Linked DNA regions of Pelodiscus sinensis. The protein of the gene in region 2 interacts with the protein of the main gene of each other region in a pairwise test. Links are inferred from orthologs where the notes say so. Each region holds a gene or a part of one and is shown on either strand. Other genes may lie near its edges.

The links.
Region 1: the proteins of SF3A3 (region 2) and TADA2A interact in binary tests that used the Homo sapiens proteins (3 or more experiments, as listed by UniProt). The two-hybrid records come from large-scale screens. The link is inferred for Pelodiscus sinensis from reciprocal best matches to the Homo sapiens genes SF3A3 and TADA2A.

The regions. Positions count from the first base shown.
Region 1 is NC_134731.1:8,816,335-8,824,480, reverse strand, and holds the start of TADA2A (transcriptional adapter 2-alpha), read right to left. Parts: upstream 3,139-8,146; 5' UTR 2,983-3,138; intron 1-2,982. Other genes in the region: C21H17orf78 (uncharacterized protein C17orf78 homolog), read right to left, coding at 7,843-7,941. UniProt on the Homo sapiens protein: Component of the ATAC complex, a complex with histone acetyltransferase activity on histones H3 and H4. Required for the function of some acidic activation domains, which activate transcription from a distant site. Binds double-stranded DNA.
Region 2 is NC_134735.1:10,736,933-10,744,338, forward strand, and holds the start of SF3A3 (splicing factor 3A subunit 3), read right to left. Parts: upstream 3,028-7,406; 5' UTR 3,018-3,027; intron 2,978-3,017; 5' UTR 2,954-2,977; coding exon 2,858-2,953; intron 2,421-2,857; coding exon 2,373-2,420; intron 1,190-2,372; coding exon 1,137-1,189; intron 1-1,136. UniProt on the Homo sapiens protein: Component of the 17S U2 SnRNP complex of the spliceosome, a large ribonucleoprotein complex that removes introns from transcribed pre-mRNAs.

The DNA.
Region 1 (8,146 bases), on a different chromosome or scaffold from region 2:
CTTGCTCAAGATCACAGAGCAAACCAGTTATAAACCTCAGAGCAGAGCCCAGAGTCCTGATGCAGATCTGAAATGTGATCCAAAGACTACAGCAAAGTTTCCAGCAGGAAGCAGGACAGCAGTAAAACTCAGACCTCCCCAAAGTAAGATAGAATTTTGTTAGAAACTTGTTACTTGAATCTATTTTAATCAAAATTGATTCCCACCCAAGATCCTTTAATACAGTGGTCCCCAACACGGTGCCCGTGGGCGCCATGATGCCCACCGGGGCATTTGTGTGCGCCCGCCGACAACCTGGGCCAGCCCCGCCCGCGGCGCACGGGTGGCGCCGGCCCCAGGCGCTCGACATGCACCGGCACCGGGTTCGCGGCACTCGGGCGGCCCCAGCCCCGGGGCATATGCAGGCGCTTGGGCACGCGGCGCTCGAGCGGCGCCGGTGCCAGCCCCAGGCGCGCGGCTCGGGCGGCCCCAGCCCCGGCCCTAGAGCACATGCCGGTGCCGGGTGCAAGGGCATCCCAGTCGCCTGGCGTGCTCCCGGACGCGCGGTCCTGCCCCCGGGCGCCCGGCGCGTGAGTTGCCCCGCCCCCGGGGCTGGGAGCCTCTAAAGGTTGGGGACCACTGCTTTAATAATATAAATTTCACTCTTGTGAAACATTTAAAATGTAGCAGTAGTAACAAACAAACAAAAAACTAAATGGAGGACTGCAATAGATATGTATGCTAGAATAAACAGCTACTAAAATTAGGTATGGGATAAAGACCCTTTCAACTATATGCAAGCATAGGAAAGACAAAGAGTGTACTCTAGTCCAGTGTTTCTTAATCTTTTTGATACCTGGCCTCTGCCTTCCTAAACTGTGTCAGGGAGATCTCAGGGAGCCAGCACCACAGATCACTCCCTGAGAAACACTACTTTCGTCTAGAACAGTAGTAGGCTGCATGCTCCCCTTCAGGGTTCTTGTGTGGCCCACGAGACATTTAGTTTATTATTGCCCTTGCACAGGGTTGCCAGATTCTGCTGGGTTCAATCCGCATATTACTAAAGTGGCATGCTTGTAAAGCAAGGGTGGAGAACCTTTTTGGGGCGGGGGCTGCTGACCCACATAAAAATCAGTCAGGTGGGAGGCAGTGGGGGTCTGGAATGCCAGTGCAGTCTTCCCAATGGGGGAGGGGAGGAGCCCCGAGCCCCTGGGGGCCAGATCTAGGCAAGCTGGGGGACTGCATTTGGCCCCTGGGCCTTAGGTTCACCATCCCTGTTGTAAAGCAAGGACACATGGAATGATGTGAGCGCTGATTGCACTAGGGATGTTAAAGACTAGTCGACCTTCCGATAAGCAAATGCTTATCAGATAGTCAGTCAACTAGTCAATTCCTCCTGCTTTGCTGCCTCTATCAGAGTCAGTAAAGGGGGGGGGAGAAGGGGTACTTCAAAGAAGAGGTACTCCAAGGAGGCATTTCAAAGGGGGCTGCCCCTTTAAAACACCACCTCTGGCATTTCAAAGGGGCAGCTGCCAAGGAGCCCGGGGTCAGCTGGGGACTCCCCAGCTGATCTGGGTTCCACTGTAATTCTGCATGGAACCTGAGGTCAGCTGGAGAGTCCCACGCTGACCCTGGGCTCCATGGCTTTGAAATGCACAAGAGTCCCTGCTGCGGACTCTTGTACATTTCAAAGCAGACACGCCAGTGTGGAGCCCAGAGTCAGTGGGACTTCCCACTGGCCCCGGCTGCAGGCGGAGTTCTGCATTCCTCCTTTGAAATGCACAAAAACCCCAACAGGGCTCTTGTGCATTTCAAAGGAGGAATGCAGAAGTGCCTATCGAGTAGTCGATGGAAATTCCATCAACCACTCGACTAGTCAATTAACCGCAATTTAACATCTCTAGAGTGCACACTACATTGACTGTGACAGTCGTGCATGTCCTCTGCCTCCGATCGAAATGCTGCTACAGTTCAATCGGCGCCCCTGCAAATGCTAGATAGGGAAGCACAGTTAGCAAAACTACCCTACCCCACGAAATCGTCTTGGTTACAACAATCTTGTGGCTCACTGAGATGACTAAGCCTGCAAGACTTCTTTCATGCTGCCTCTTATGCTGGGAGAGTTCTTCCTGATCGTGTGCATCATATCACCTTTATTTCCTTCTTCTGACCCTCCCCACGCACCCCCTCTCTTCCAGACCCCCCCTCCAGACTCTGCATCTTCATCCTCCTCCTGCATCTTCCACCCTTGCAGACCCTACTCCCTCAACCCCAGTCCACACCTGCACCCTACCTCCTGCCCACAACCCGAACTCCTACCCCCAGCCCGCTCCTGGCAGCCCCCTCCTGCACACTGAACCCCTCCTTTTTGGCCCTGCCAAACAAACCCTAGTAGCCCCAGGCTCTGGAGGAGTTAATTTGGCCCTAGGGCCTCCCCATGGGGCTGAAGCTTGAGGGGAGTTTTTTCCCCCTGATTCTGAGGGGGGGGGCTACATCTGGGAGGGTTTTTTTTCTCCTCAGGGGGCCAGGACACTAAGAGGGTTTTTTTGTGCTTCTCTTTTGTGTGTGGCCCCCAACTGATGTTTTGATGGGTCTGTGCCCCCCCCCCCCCCCAAAAAAAAAGTTCCCCACCCCGGGCTTACTGGGACCACTGTTCCCAACCCCTCCTCCAGGAACCAGTAGGGACCCTACTGCCCTCCCCCTTCCCTGTGGGACCCGCCCCTCCCCCGCCCAAGCCCCGCCCACCCCAGCAAGCCCCGCCCCTGAAGTCCACGCGGCGGCGGTTTACCCCAGTGCCCCCTAACGGAACAGCAGGGGAGGCGCCGCGCTCCCGCCAGAGCGCGCATCTGAGGTGGCTGGGAGCGCGCAGCCACCGCCTGCCTAAGCTCGCACCCCCCTCTCCGCTTCACTTGGTATCTTCCTACTTCTCACCCCCTCCCACCCCGCCCCGCCGCCGCATGGTCTCTCCCGGGCTCGCGGCCCGCTTTGCCCCCAGCCCGTCACCTCACGCCGGCTTCGCTCAGGCCCCGAGCCCGACTCCGCTCCAGTCCCAGCGGCCGTCCCCACGTGCTCAGGCTCGGCGCGGCTGGGCACGCGTACGTGCGCGCTCACGAGGCGGGCGGGGGGGGGGGTGTGTGAGGCTCGTGCCCTCACGCCGCGCGTTTGGGTCACGTCGCCGGTGGCGTGTGGCACTGCAGCCGGGGGCGGGTCGACCTCGGCACGGAGGCTGTGAGGGGAGGGCTGGCGTGAGAGGGGGCGGGGTTGGGCTCGCAACGGTGAAAAGGGGCAGCGGGGTCGCACCGCGGGAGGCTGGAGTTGGGGGGGGTCGCACCGTGGGGGAGGAGGAGCGATGGGGTTGGGGGGTCGTACTGCGAGAGGAGGGGGGGAGGAGCGGTGGGGTTGGGGGTCGCACTCTGTGAGGCGAGAACTGGGGGGGGAGGAACGGTGGGGTTGGGGGGTCGTACTGCGAGAGGAGGGGGGGAGGAGCAGTGGGGTTGGGGGTTGTACTGTGGGGGGGGAGGAGCGGTGGGGTTGGGGGTTGCACTGTGGGGGGGGAGGAGCGGTGGGGTTGGGGGTTGCACTGTGGGGGGGGAGGAGCGGTGGGGTTGGGGGTCGCATCGTGGGGGGGGGAGGAGCGGTGGGGTTGGGGGTCGCATCGTGGGGGGGGGGAGGAGCGGTGGGGTTGGGGGTCGCACCGTGGGGGGGGGGGAGGAGTGGTGGGGTTGGAGTCGCCCCGTTGGCAGCACGGGGCTTGTGGAGTTTGACATCATTGATTGTGGTGAAGATTTGTTTGTTTTGCTTTTTTGTTTTGTTTTGTTTGTAAAACCAAGGCACCCTTTAGGCTGTGTTTAGAAGTATGCCTGAAAACCATCTGCAGGCACCAAGGTTCGTCTCTGGACTTTGGCAACGTGTAGTTCCTGCAAAGCTGCAGAATAATAATTATGGGTAAATAGTTTCCTCCTTGCTAGCACTGTTAAATAATGAAACTGGGGTCTGGCCAGTCTCCCTCCCCCTCTGTGCTGCAGCCTTGGCAATACATAAAGAGTTCAGATTTACTTGGGTCTCTTCATTGGCAGGAGAGCTTCAATTTATATTAATTTGAAGGCTATTGTTTATATTTATTTTTGCAACATGGGGGTCCCTGCACACATCTGCAGCCAGGTGTGACTCTCAGGCAGCAGGTAGAACAGAAGGTTCATTAGTTCTCAGGGATACAAGGTAAAACATATTTGTTAGTACAGGAACCAAAAGCAGACAGTACAATCCACCTTGAGGAAAAGGGGGGCCTGGAGCCAGGGCCCTCCCTCTGTATCTTAAGCCAGCGGAGACTAACTCACTCCGCAGCCCGACCCAGCTTTATAGGCAGCCCCACTTCTTCCTTTGTTCAGCTTCCTGAGCTTAAGGTGTCACCTGTTTGCATCTCCCTTCCAGGCTCACCTTACAGTGAACCTGGGCCATTGTGACCGTGCTAGCCTGGTCAGCCTCCCCTCAGTGAGAGTCACACCCAAAATTCCCATCTCCAATTTGGCACTGGTGCTATGCCCAGGGAAACAGATCCACACACAAAGTTACTACAGTGCAGGACAACAGAAATCACATGCAACATAAAGCGGACAGAGCGAATGGAACCCCCACTTTGTCACATCCATGTTACAAGTGAAACATTTAAATGCTTGCCCTTTATTTAATTTTTATTCTGCATTCACTCAACTAAATTACTCTTAATTCTGTCTGGCAGATAAATTAGTTTGGCCTGGTTCTCAGCTCTAATTTTACTTCCTAGTACATCTATCTGAGGAATAATCTGTAAAAACAGCAGACACGTGACACATGGCCATTATTTAGCCATGTTATAAAATAGGGATGAGATCCTATCTGTACTACATGTTGGCACAATTTTGAATCTGGGTTAGAATCTGTGTACTGCTTTGTTGCAACCACTTTACTTAACTGTCTATATTTGTAGCATAAATGACCATACATGAGTCTCCTGTTTCCATTGTAATGAATGGAACTTGATGATAACCACTTACAGCAGGGGTTTGCATCCATGTAATTACATTGATGTAGTTCTCATGTAGACAGGGCTCTTAATTAAGTAAGCTGATACTTATATTGTCACCTTTTGACTTCCTAGTAATATGAGTTTACATATCTGAGAGCAAGTATATCACAGACTTTAGAAGATAGAGCTGGATTAAATAACATTTGGGAGGTTTTTCCCTAAATCATAAAGGCTTACGTATTACAGGCAGCATTAATCTCTGCAGAATGTTATGTTGCTGTAAGGGTCAGAGGAATGCACAAAGCAGTATGTGTGCTAGAAAGAATGATATGGATGCTCAGATATCAAAAGGGGGAGAGGATAGCCCATAAACTTTGGTAAGAAGAAAATGTTTGTTTTAATGAAATCTTCCAAACCAAAAAACAATGATCCTTTCCAAAACCTGTGTATCTTTGTGTCAGTGGAATAACAAGTAATTAATGTTTTCCATGGACTGGCGTCTGTTTTCCATTGGTAATAGTCATTCTATTATCCGTTTAGCTGAAAATAACACACAGTTCCTGCAAATATGCTAAACACCAGTACATCACCCCTTCATGATAGACTCTGCCAGGACTTTTCATAAGTGATCTAGTAAGGTGACATGGATGACAGTTATGAGTCTTGGTACAGAAGAAGGTGCATGATGGAGAGTGAGAATAGGCTAGGAAGAAGAGTGAGGAATGAGACAGGATATAAGGATGACATGAAGGTGGATATGTAGGTGGCAGGCAGTGATCCAAAGGTTTGAGATGAAGATGAGAAATAGAGATTGTGAGTAGTTCTAGTCCTGCTCTCTGCTCAGCACAATTTATTGCATTTGCTGTTTGAAACTGATTCCTTTTGGAATTTGGAAATTCCACATCATGTATAATAAAACTCCTGTCAGTTCCAGAACTTTCCCAAATGTTTTTCAATGCATTTATAGTTCATTTTCCTAGTTATATAATACAGTTTGTATAATACAAATACATTTATGACTAACCTCTGTTCTCTGGAACAAAATCTTTCATGGTGTGACACTGCTAAATTCAGTGGAAATATACAATGGAGGAGTTTAATCTCCACTTTCTGTAGTAGTCCATAAATAAGCTTCCTAAATTGATGAATTCCCAGGTTCCTCCCTGCACCGTTCCCATCCATCTGCAGTCTAGAGCCTTTGTGATCTTTCCCTGACTGCTTCCTAATGCTGTGTTTGTTACATTCTGGTCATCTTGTACTCACTTGACAACTATGTTATCTGTGTTGTGGAGGGGGCTATTGGGGGCACTGAGAGGGATTTGAATGGAGTCAGTGAATCTTGTTTTGCAGAAAGACCTGGGATTTAGAAATGACACAGCTGAGACTCCCTGTAGAATATGGTTACACATGTGCCAGAAATTTCATAATTTATCCCCTGTAGCACAGTAATATTCTAGTGGCGTAACACCAGGATCACTTTGGGCGTGTTTACTGCAGCATCGCTCTTCTGGGTCAGTCAAATACATTTTTATTTATTATGACTGCATCTGATGTCCGAAGGTCTCGCGGAGATTAAGGCAAATTTGTACAGATTTTTATATACACATATGTATGCACTGATTATTCTAAATAATATTTCATGCTTTCAAATATATTGTTATGTTCTGGTCATGCAGTAAGCTCTGCAGAGGTGTCCACCTATTTTCTGTAAGATTGGTATTGTAGCTAGTAGCAATTGCCTCTTCCAAACAACCAAAACTTCCTAAAAAAAAGTTATTGTCGCTATTCAAATGTGACATGTTTTTATGCCTATTGTGATGTTAATTTTGTCTGAAATTTTGTATGTCCCCATGGAGGATGGGTGATGCTGATTTAGAAAGACAGAATCTAGATTGCTTAGAGGAAGTGTTCTTTTCGCAATTAGGCTAGAAGGCCACTTTTATTCATTTTTTGCAGATCTTTGGCATTTAATTATTTACACAAGATTTTGAAATGAAGTGTGTTCTCTTTTGCAGGCTTCAAATGTTGCCTTCAGCCATTCATCTGTGAACATACAACAGGGGTGGTCAATAATTTTTGACGGGGGACCATTCCAAGATTTTTGGAATGTGATTGAAGGCCATACTTTTCCAGAATATTAATGGAGGAGGTGAGGGGTCTGGGATGGAGGTTGAGTACAGAAGGGAGCTTTGGATACGGGATTGGGGTGCAGCAGGGAGAATGGGGTCTCAGAGGGAGTTTGGGTGAAGAAGACGGGACTGGGATGCAGGATTTTGGGATGTGACCTAGGCTAGGAGGGGATTGTGATCTGAGACAGGAGACTGGGGTGCCAGATCTGGGAGGGGGTATAGGTACAGTAGGGGCAAAGGGTTTGAGTAGGGGGGGGCAGAGGGTTGGAGAAGGGAGGGGCTAGGGTGCCAGAGGCAGGCTCTGCTAGGAGGCATTTACCAGCAGAAACCTAAGGCAGACTGACAGCTGCAGGCTGCTTGCAGCTCCACATGGCTCTGCTGTGGGCATGAGAGGGAAGGGAAAGGGGAAGAAGGATGGATGAGGAGGAAGGGAGAAGGCTTCCTACACTGCCTCTGCTCCCACAAAAATTCTCAGCTCATATTGGCCCAAAACTGAGAGATTGGCCAATGAGAGGTAAGAGATTTTGCTGGGGGGCGGGAACAGCATTAGAAGTCTCCCTCCTCCCTCCCCTGCCATACCAAGTGGATAACAGCTTCTTTTTTTTTAAATGTGAACTGATCTTTGCCTAAGGGTTGAAGGAGATCTGTATTGTTAAATGAAATAATTGTTACTGAACTACATTTAAAAAACTCTGTGGTTCCCTTTTTGTGACCCACCATGACACGTCCTTAAGATGATACAGAATTTGGGATGTCTGTGCTTTCTCTTTCTTGCCGTTTACATTTCTGAATACAGTTGCATCGCCGGCTCCAACGAAGGCATGGACGCTCAGAAAAGAAACAGAAGCCATTAGAAGGTTGGTAGGAAAGACGTTGACAGACCAAAACACCAAGAATTTGAAGCTAGCATAATGATGATTTGTTTCTAGAAAGACTAATCTGAATTTTGACAAGAATGCACTTCAGAGTGTAAAAGCATGAAACAATGTGGCTTTTGCCCCAGACATCTGCAGCATGGCATATGCCCTCTTGC
Region 2 (7,406 bases):
CTGCTGAAGTGTGCAGAATCAGCAACACCCCTTCTTGTCCCTTATTCTACTGAAGAAGCAACACACAGCAAGTTAAATGGGATTTGCAGGAATCTTTAACCGTGTATAGGTCTTAGTATGAACCAGAAGGGAAACACTGCAATTGGCACATTCAGTTGTTTTTGTTGGTTCCCCCCTCTTAAAGGTCATTACACCTACAAATGGGAGTGCAGATAACTCAGCCCTAACTGCATCTTATTTGATGGACCATTTCAGTCGTGATTTTTTCTCCAACATGATATTTTAGAAGGGCTAGATTTATGGCAGATTTATTCTTTCCCTCCCCTTCCTACTCCCACACACTTTGGATCAAACAGTACTTTGCTGGCAAATCTTATGTCAGTGACAGCTTTGCAACGACATGTTGCTCTATGGCACTGATGAAGTTATGTCAAGACGCCTACTAATAATGTCTGGTCAGGGATTTGTTTCCAGCATTAGACTTTTACTCTCATGTTAAAAACTGGCAAGTGCAATAAAACTTCTGCAAGAAAACTTAAATTTGCTTTGGAGAAAGGTGGGGGGGGGGGATTTTTTTTTTTTTTAAACAAGTGCCATAGCTCTAAATTAAACAAAAAACAGGACTATGTAGCACTTTAAAGACTAGCAAGATGGTTTATTAGGTGATGAGCTTTCGTGGGCCAGACCCACTTCCTCAGATCAAATAGTGGAAGAAAATTTTCCTAAATTTTCTTCCACTATTTGATTTGAGGAAGTGGGTCTGGCCCACAAAAGCTGCTCACCTAATAAACCATCTTGCTAGTCTTTAAAGTGCTACATAGTCCTGTTTTTTGTTTCAGCTAGACCAGACTAACAGGGCTACATTTCTATCATCATAGCTCTAAATGCATCGCTCTCTTTATATGTGACCTAAAGAAGTGCCAGTAAGACTCTCCTGTAGCTCTGAAAGCACTAAAGGGACATCTACACTGAAATTAAAAACCAGCAATTGGCCTGTGTCAACTGACTTGGGTATGCAGGGCTTGGGCTAAGGGGCTGTTAAAGTGCTTGCAGACATACTCTGTGTGAAGGTGTTTAGCTAGCAGATCTTTCAGCTTTTAAAAAAGCCCGTTCACATCTTTTTTGCAGACACTTACCCATCCTTATCATCATACAGGTCTCTCAGATTGCCACTCACTTCCATATATCTCTAAAAAACAAAAAAACATGTTACAGTTATGCATATACTTTTGCTGCACTTCAGCACAACATGCAGAGTTAGGAAAAATAAGCTGCTTTCTTGGAAGCTTGCAAAAGCTTGCTTACATTTGAAATAACAATCCCACAAACTTGAGCTAAACAGACAAAGAAATGAAAGGCTGCTCAGTGAAAGGTAATGAAACATTATAGGGAAATTTAGCAGCTGAAAGTATTTTCAGGGAAATACAATATCTCGCTACCCAAGTCATTTCATGATCTTCTGTGGAGTTTTGCTGTTTAATAAATTAGCTGCAATGAAAATAATACAGCTGATTTAAAATATAGCTAAATGTTTTTAATGCTAAAACTGATGAGTTAGGGTGCAGGATGGAATTACTTATGTTCCATGTGCCCAGGTTCTGGTAAAAGGTAATGCAGATGCATCAAGCATTGTGCAAAATAAATCCTATAACTTCAGTATCAAGTATCTCTGCAGAATAAATATTGGTATAAATATGAAAACACTTTAAAAATTTGCAGATAGAACCAAATCTAGGCAAACTCAGCTCATGAACTTTATGGTAAGCAAAACTCCAGTAAATACTGTTATCAGCTTGCATATGTCTATCAGTTACTATGCCGCACACAAAACCATTTTTTTTTAACCTTGCACCCTGCAATCTTAATGTGTTATACCAGCAATTCTCAAACTGTGGGCCAGGACCCCAAAGTGGGTTCCAACCCTATTTTAATGGGATTGCAAGGACTCGCTTAGACTCACTGGGGCCCAGGGCCAAAGCTCAAACCCCACTGCCCGAAGCTAAAGCCAAAGACCAAGAATTTCAGCTCAGGTGGCAGGGCTCAAGTTACAGGCCCCATGCCTGGGACAAAAGCTCTTGGCTTCGGGCTTTGCCTCAACATCATGGCGGTGGGGTTTTGGCCCCACTCCCACCTGGGATGGTGCGGCTTGGACAGGCTCAGGTTTTGGTCTCTCTCCTAGGGTGGTATAGTATCTTCTGCTGTCAGAAAGAGGTTGCAGAGCAATGAAGTTTGAGAACCCCTGTGCTACACACATCCAGAAATACAGTTTGCGATGTATCGCTTAAGTAACTCACTACACCGAAACAGCCTGTGCTCCAGCCCATAATCTTTAGGGAACAAGGCGCGAGGGAAAGAGAAGAGGCGATACTCACGTCCTGCATCGCTCGGGTGCGATGATCAGAGTTAATCTGGTCCCGTAACTATAAGACAGATCAGAAAAAAAAGATTAGCCACGCTTTCCCCAACTCCAAATCTGGGAAAGTTCAGCAAAGAACAGTCTTCATCTGCCCCAGTCAGCTAGGGGTATGCGAGGAGTCGCTCACTGGGACAAAGGCTGCTGGTGGGTCATTGGCATCGCACTGCACTTGCACCGCGCTCTGACGGGAGGCGGCTTCACTGAGGTGGGGGAATTATGAGGGGGGCCACCCCTGGGACAGAGACGGGTGAACGGGGGCCCACGTCAGGGAGCCAGGGGCCCATGGGCCAGGAAGCTGCGCTGTGGGGGGCTGTCTGGTGCCCGGCTCGCCCCAGGACAGTCACTGCCCCGCACCCAGCCCTGCTGGGGGCCCCTCCGGGAGGGGAGGGCTGAGGCCGGCCCGACACGCGGGCGGAAGAGCAGGGCCCCTCCCCCCCGCACCGTGGATTTCTTAATCAGCATCTCCTTGGCCATCACGTCCATGAGCCGCTCCCGCTCCTCATGGTAGCGCCGCTGCTGCTCCAGGATCGTCTCCATCTTCCCCGCGCGCCAGCCGGAACCCTCCCTGCGGTGCGCCTCTGTCCCCGGCCCGACCGGAAACCCTCCCTCCGGTGCGCTCCCCTGTCACCAACCCGACCGGAAACCCTCCCTCCGGTGCTCCCCTGTCACCAACCCGACCGGAAACCCTCCCTCCGGTGCGCTCCCCTGTCACCAACCCGACCGGAAACCCTCCCTCCGGTGCGCTCCCCTGTCACCAACCCGACCGGAAACCCTCCCTCCGGTGCGCTTCTGTCCCCCGCCCGACCGGAAACCCTCCCTGCGGTGCTCCCCTGTCACCAACCCGACCGGAAACCCTCCCTCCGGTGCGCTCCCCTGTCACCAACCCGACCGGAAACCCTCCCTCCGGTGCGCTCCCCTGTCACCAACCCGACCGGAAACCCTCCCTCCGGTGCTCCCCTGTCACCAACCCGACCGGAAACCCTCCCTCCGGTGCGCTCCCCTGTCACCAACCCGACCGGAAACCCTCCCTCCGGTGCGCCTCTGTCCCCGGCCCGACCGGAAACCCTCCCTCCGGTGCGCCTCTGTCCCCGGCCCGACCGGAAACCCTCCCTCCGGTGCGCCTCTGTCCCCGGCCCGACCGGAAACCCTCCCTCGGGATGCGCCCCCCGTTGGACACTGACAGCAGAGTTCCGTGTGTTCCGTGTGCGTGTGTCCCTGCAGTGTGTGTGTGCATGTGCCCCCCGTGGGTGTGCATCCTTTGCATGTAGACACGTGTCCTATATGTCCTGTGTGCGCACATGCACGTGTAACGCCAAGAGGCAGAACCGAACCGGGGTCCTCTCTGCAGCTTAGTGCAAGAGCCTCTGTCCACAGCTTGAGCTAAAACCCAGTTGGCCTCAGATTCGGCTGTAGAACACGATCGCATAATTCTCTCTGTAAGCGGTCTCAGTGCCTTGTCGGACAGTGAACCCCCCCCCGTAGGTGTGGGGGGCTACATGTGCATATGCCTCTGTGTGTGTCCTTTGCATGGGTTGAATACCAGCTGTGTGTGCACGTATGTAAGTGCCACTAAGTGCCACCGAGCAGATTTAAATCTGGGACCTCTGGAGGTCACTATAAGAGTCTCTCACAGCTTGAGCTACGAAGCCAGCTGCCACTCAGCTTAGGCTGTAGAGCTCCCTTGTTCTTATCTCTGGCTGTAAGTGGTCTAAGTGCCACTACATAAGACAGTGAACCACATGAGATGGGTGGGTTACATACTTCCCCCCTAGCTGAGGAAGTGCATTCTGAGCTTGAGACCCAGTTGAAATTGCTGACAAGTGCCCACTGATAACCACCACGGGCCAGATTTGAACCTGAGCTCTTTGGAGTTTAGTATAGACCCTCTACAGCTTGAGCTATAAAGCCATCTACCACTTAGCTGTGGCTGTAGAGCTCCCTTGTTCTTATATCTAGCTGTAAGTGGTCTAAATGCCACTACATGGGACAGTGAACTTCACGAGGTGTGTGGGTTACATTCAGTCTATGTGAGTGCCCTGTGCACCTTATGCGTGGGTGCACATATGCCTGTGATCATTGTGCACTGTGTGTGTGTGTGAGACAGCTGCCATTGTCACCACTGTTGACAGCACAGGCCTAGCCCAGCCCCTTACTCCAAGCTGGAACCCCCTACCTACAAGTAGCATTGCCTGCTCTTCTAATTTCTTTGTGCATGTGCTGATAGTTGCAGGGTCAGTAAAACATTGTGTACATAGCCATCTCTGTCCTTGAAAATAAAGACGCTTCTAGCCCTCACCACTTCGCAGACAACATAACCTGAGCCTGGCCTGCAGGCTTAGAAATCAGAAAATAAATAAATATGTCCGCCCTTCACACACACCGAGTGTTTGCTTTAAATCTCATGATGTTTCAGCCAATCTCATGATTATTTGGCTCTGGCCCTTGACTCATGACTTTTGAGCACTTGGAGTTCACGGTGCAGTAAAAGGGAGGGGCTGTGGGCACAGCATTTGGGGTGCTCTGGCCTTCTTCCTCTCCTCTCTAGATCTGACCTGTGAAGAACAGCACAAAGAAAGCCTTTGAGTGCACTGCAAAGCCCGCTGCCTGATCAACAAGCATTGATGGAAAGCCCAAAGTGCCATTTTCATGGGTCGATAGTGCACATGAGGCGAGGGGGTATTAATTACATGACTGTTCTATGGATGACAATTCAGGCATGGGATAGGTCAGATAAGGCCTTGAAAGTAAAGACAGGTAGTTTGCACTTAATGCAGTGAAAGAAAGGTAAATGAGGGGAGGCTGAACAGAGGTACAAGACAGCACAGCGAGCCAGGAAAATGATCTATGCCAGAGGTAGCACATTGTAGGTGCACTGCCCGCTATGCCCCCACCAACATTTTAATTGCTAAATGGGGTGCCCCCATATGCCTCCTACCCATCAGAGTGGCCCTCATACCCCCTTCCCCCACAGGCACTAATTGCCCCTGATCTTTGCAGCAGCATTGAATGAAAACTTGACTAATGTCACCGAAAACCCTTCCGGTTCTACTCCTCAATACTAAGCACTGCTTTCCTGGCTGCAGAAGCAGGAAGTTGCCTGTTTGCCATGGAGACATAACTAGTAGGGCAGACCCACGCTCTGGTCTCTCCCAGCCCATTCACGGGAAGGTGAGCGTTGTAAGCTCTTGAGCTGTGGGAGCCCCGGGACAAAACAAGGGCTGGCTTGTGGCTTGTGTCCAGCAGATGGCAGGCTTTCGCTTTTCTGGAGAGCAGCTTGTGCACTCTCTCTCCCCTGAAGGTGGAACTAGCTGCTGCTCTCATCAGATGCGGTTTGGTTCTCTTGGCGTGATGGCAGCATTGGCCCCCTGTATCTGATTTAGAGCTGGTGCCTGCACAGCTCAGACCCGTGAACGGCTTTACATTCCCCCCTCTCCCGTGAGGAAGCGTGGGATCATTAGCCACCTCACACAGCTGGGGAGGTGAAGGCAGGGCAGTGACTTTGCCAAGGGCCACACGAGAAGTCTGTGGCGGAGCTGGGAGGTCAGGCCTGTGCCTTATTTGCAGCATTAGGCTCTGCCTCCCAGAAGTCACCGGTCTGATTCTTTTCCATAGCAGTGACCACTTGGTAGGTGCTGCTGTGGGGCTATCGGGCCCTGGAACTGGAGAATCTCTCACAGGAATCCTCTTCTGCATGGTGATACCCGAGATGGAGGCTTTTGCTCCCAGAAACTGCATTGTCAGTGCCCTAGCAAGACATCAATCCCATCTGGTCATTGCCCTGGGGCACCCAGACTCTACCCACCTCCTAGCCAGCTTAGTGGGATGAGCTCATCCTACGGCATGGGTAGAGGCCCGGTAGCAAGGGGGGGTTAGAAGGGGGGTTGACCTGCCAAGTGTCCCATTGGCGAGAAAACTGTGAATTTCTGCCAGGAAAAGCCCTGAATTCCAAAGAAAACGTCTTTTGTTTTGGCTGCTCAGAGCCGCTGCCCTCAAACCTTCAATTTGTTGTTCCCCTTCATTTATGGCCAGGCTTTCCCCTTCAACCATTCCCGTGGTGCAGCTGGGAGCTAACCACCATGGCGTAGTGACTCATCTGGGGCCCTCGGTGTTACGGAGCGCCAAAGGTGCCGCATCGCTGGGAGGGCCTGGCCTGGTGACCGAGCAGGCGAGTACCAGTCAGAGCCGACCTAGAACGAAGTGTGTGGCCCTCTGCCGCTGTCTCAGACATGGAAAAGCGTTACCTTGTGACAGACACATGTCAGATTCTCCTGACGTGCAGCGGGGTGGGGGGGAGTGGAGCCCCTGAATCATTTTATGGGGCCACTTGGCACCTTACCTTAAATTTTGCTCAACTCTTTGCAGTCACTTGGAAACCTCTATGTAAGGAGAACTAGCCAGGCTCAGTTTGAAACATGCCCTGGGGTGGGGGAGGGAGAAGAGGTGGGAACAGCTCTGCCTGCATGGGTTTGCCAGGGACTCTCTGCGGGAGGAGGAGGAGGGGTGTTGAAGGACATGGAGGTTTGAGGTTTTTCTGAGTTATATTTGTCTGGGGCTCTGGTATCTCTTGGGCTCTTTGGCCCCATCCTTCTCCACAGGGAGAGGGGTGCTTGCTTCCCCTGTTGCACTTCGTACCGTTCCATACCAAAGTTGCTGAGCTCCAAAGAGCAGCTCCGGCTGGCCACAGCACAGAGGGGTTTCAGCATGCAGCTGAGTCCAAGCCCTCCTGATGGCTGCCGTCCAAGCCACCTCCAGCCCTGTTCTACTGGTTCTCTCCCCAGTACTGACCATATATGGTGGCACAGGCTGCAGTGAGATGCTGCCAGCTGGATTTAGGATCAGGGCTGACCCCAGCGTCGGAGGCACAATGACCTTTCTCAAGAAACAAAGGCGGAGAGGAAAAGGGCAAAGTTAAAGGGAAGAGAGACTCATAAAATCCAGCACGTGTCTGAGTGGGAGGGCGGCCTCAGAAGGGTTCAGCGAGTTGGGCGGG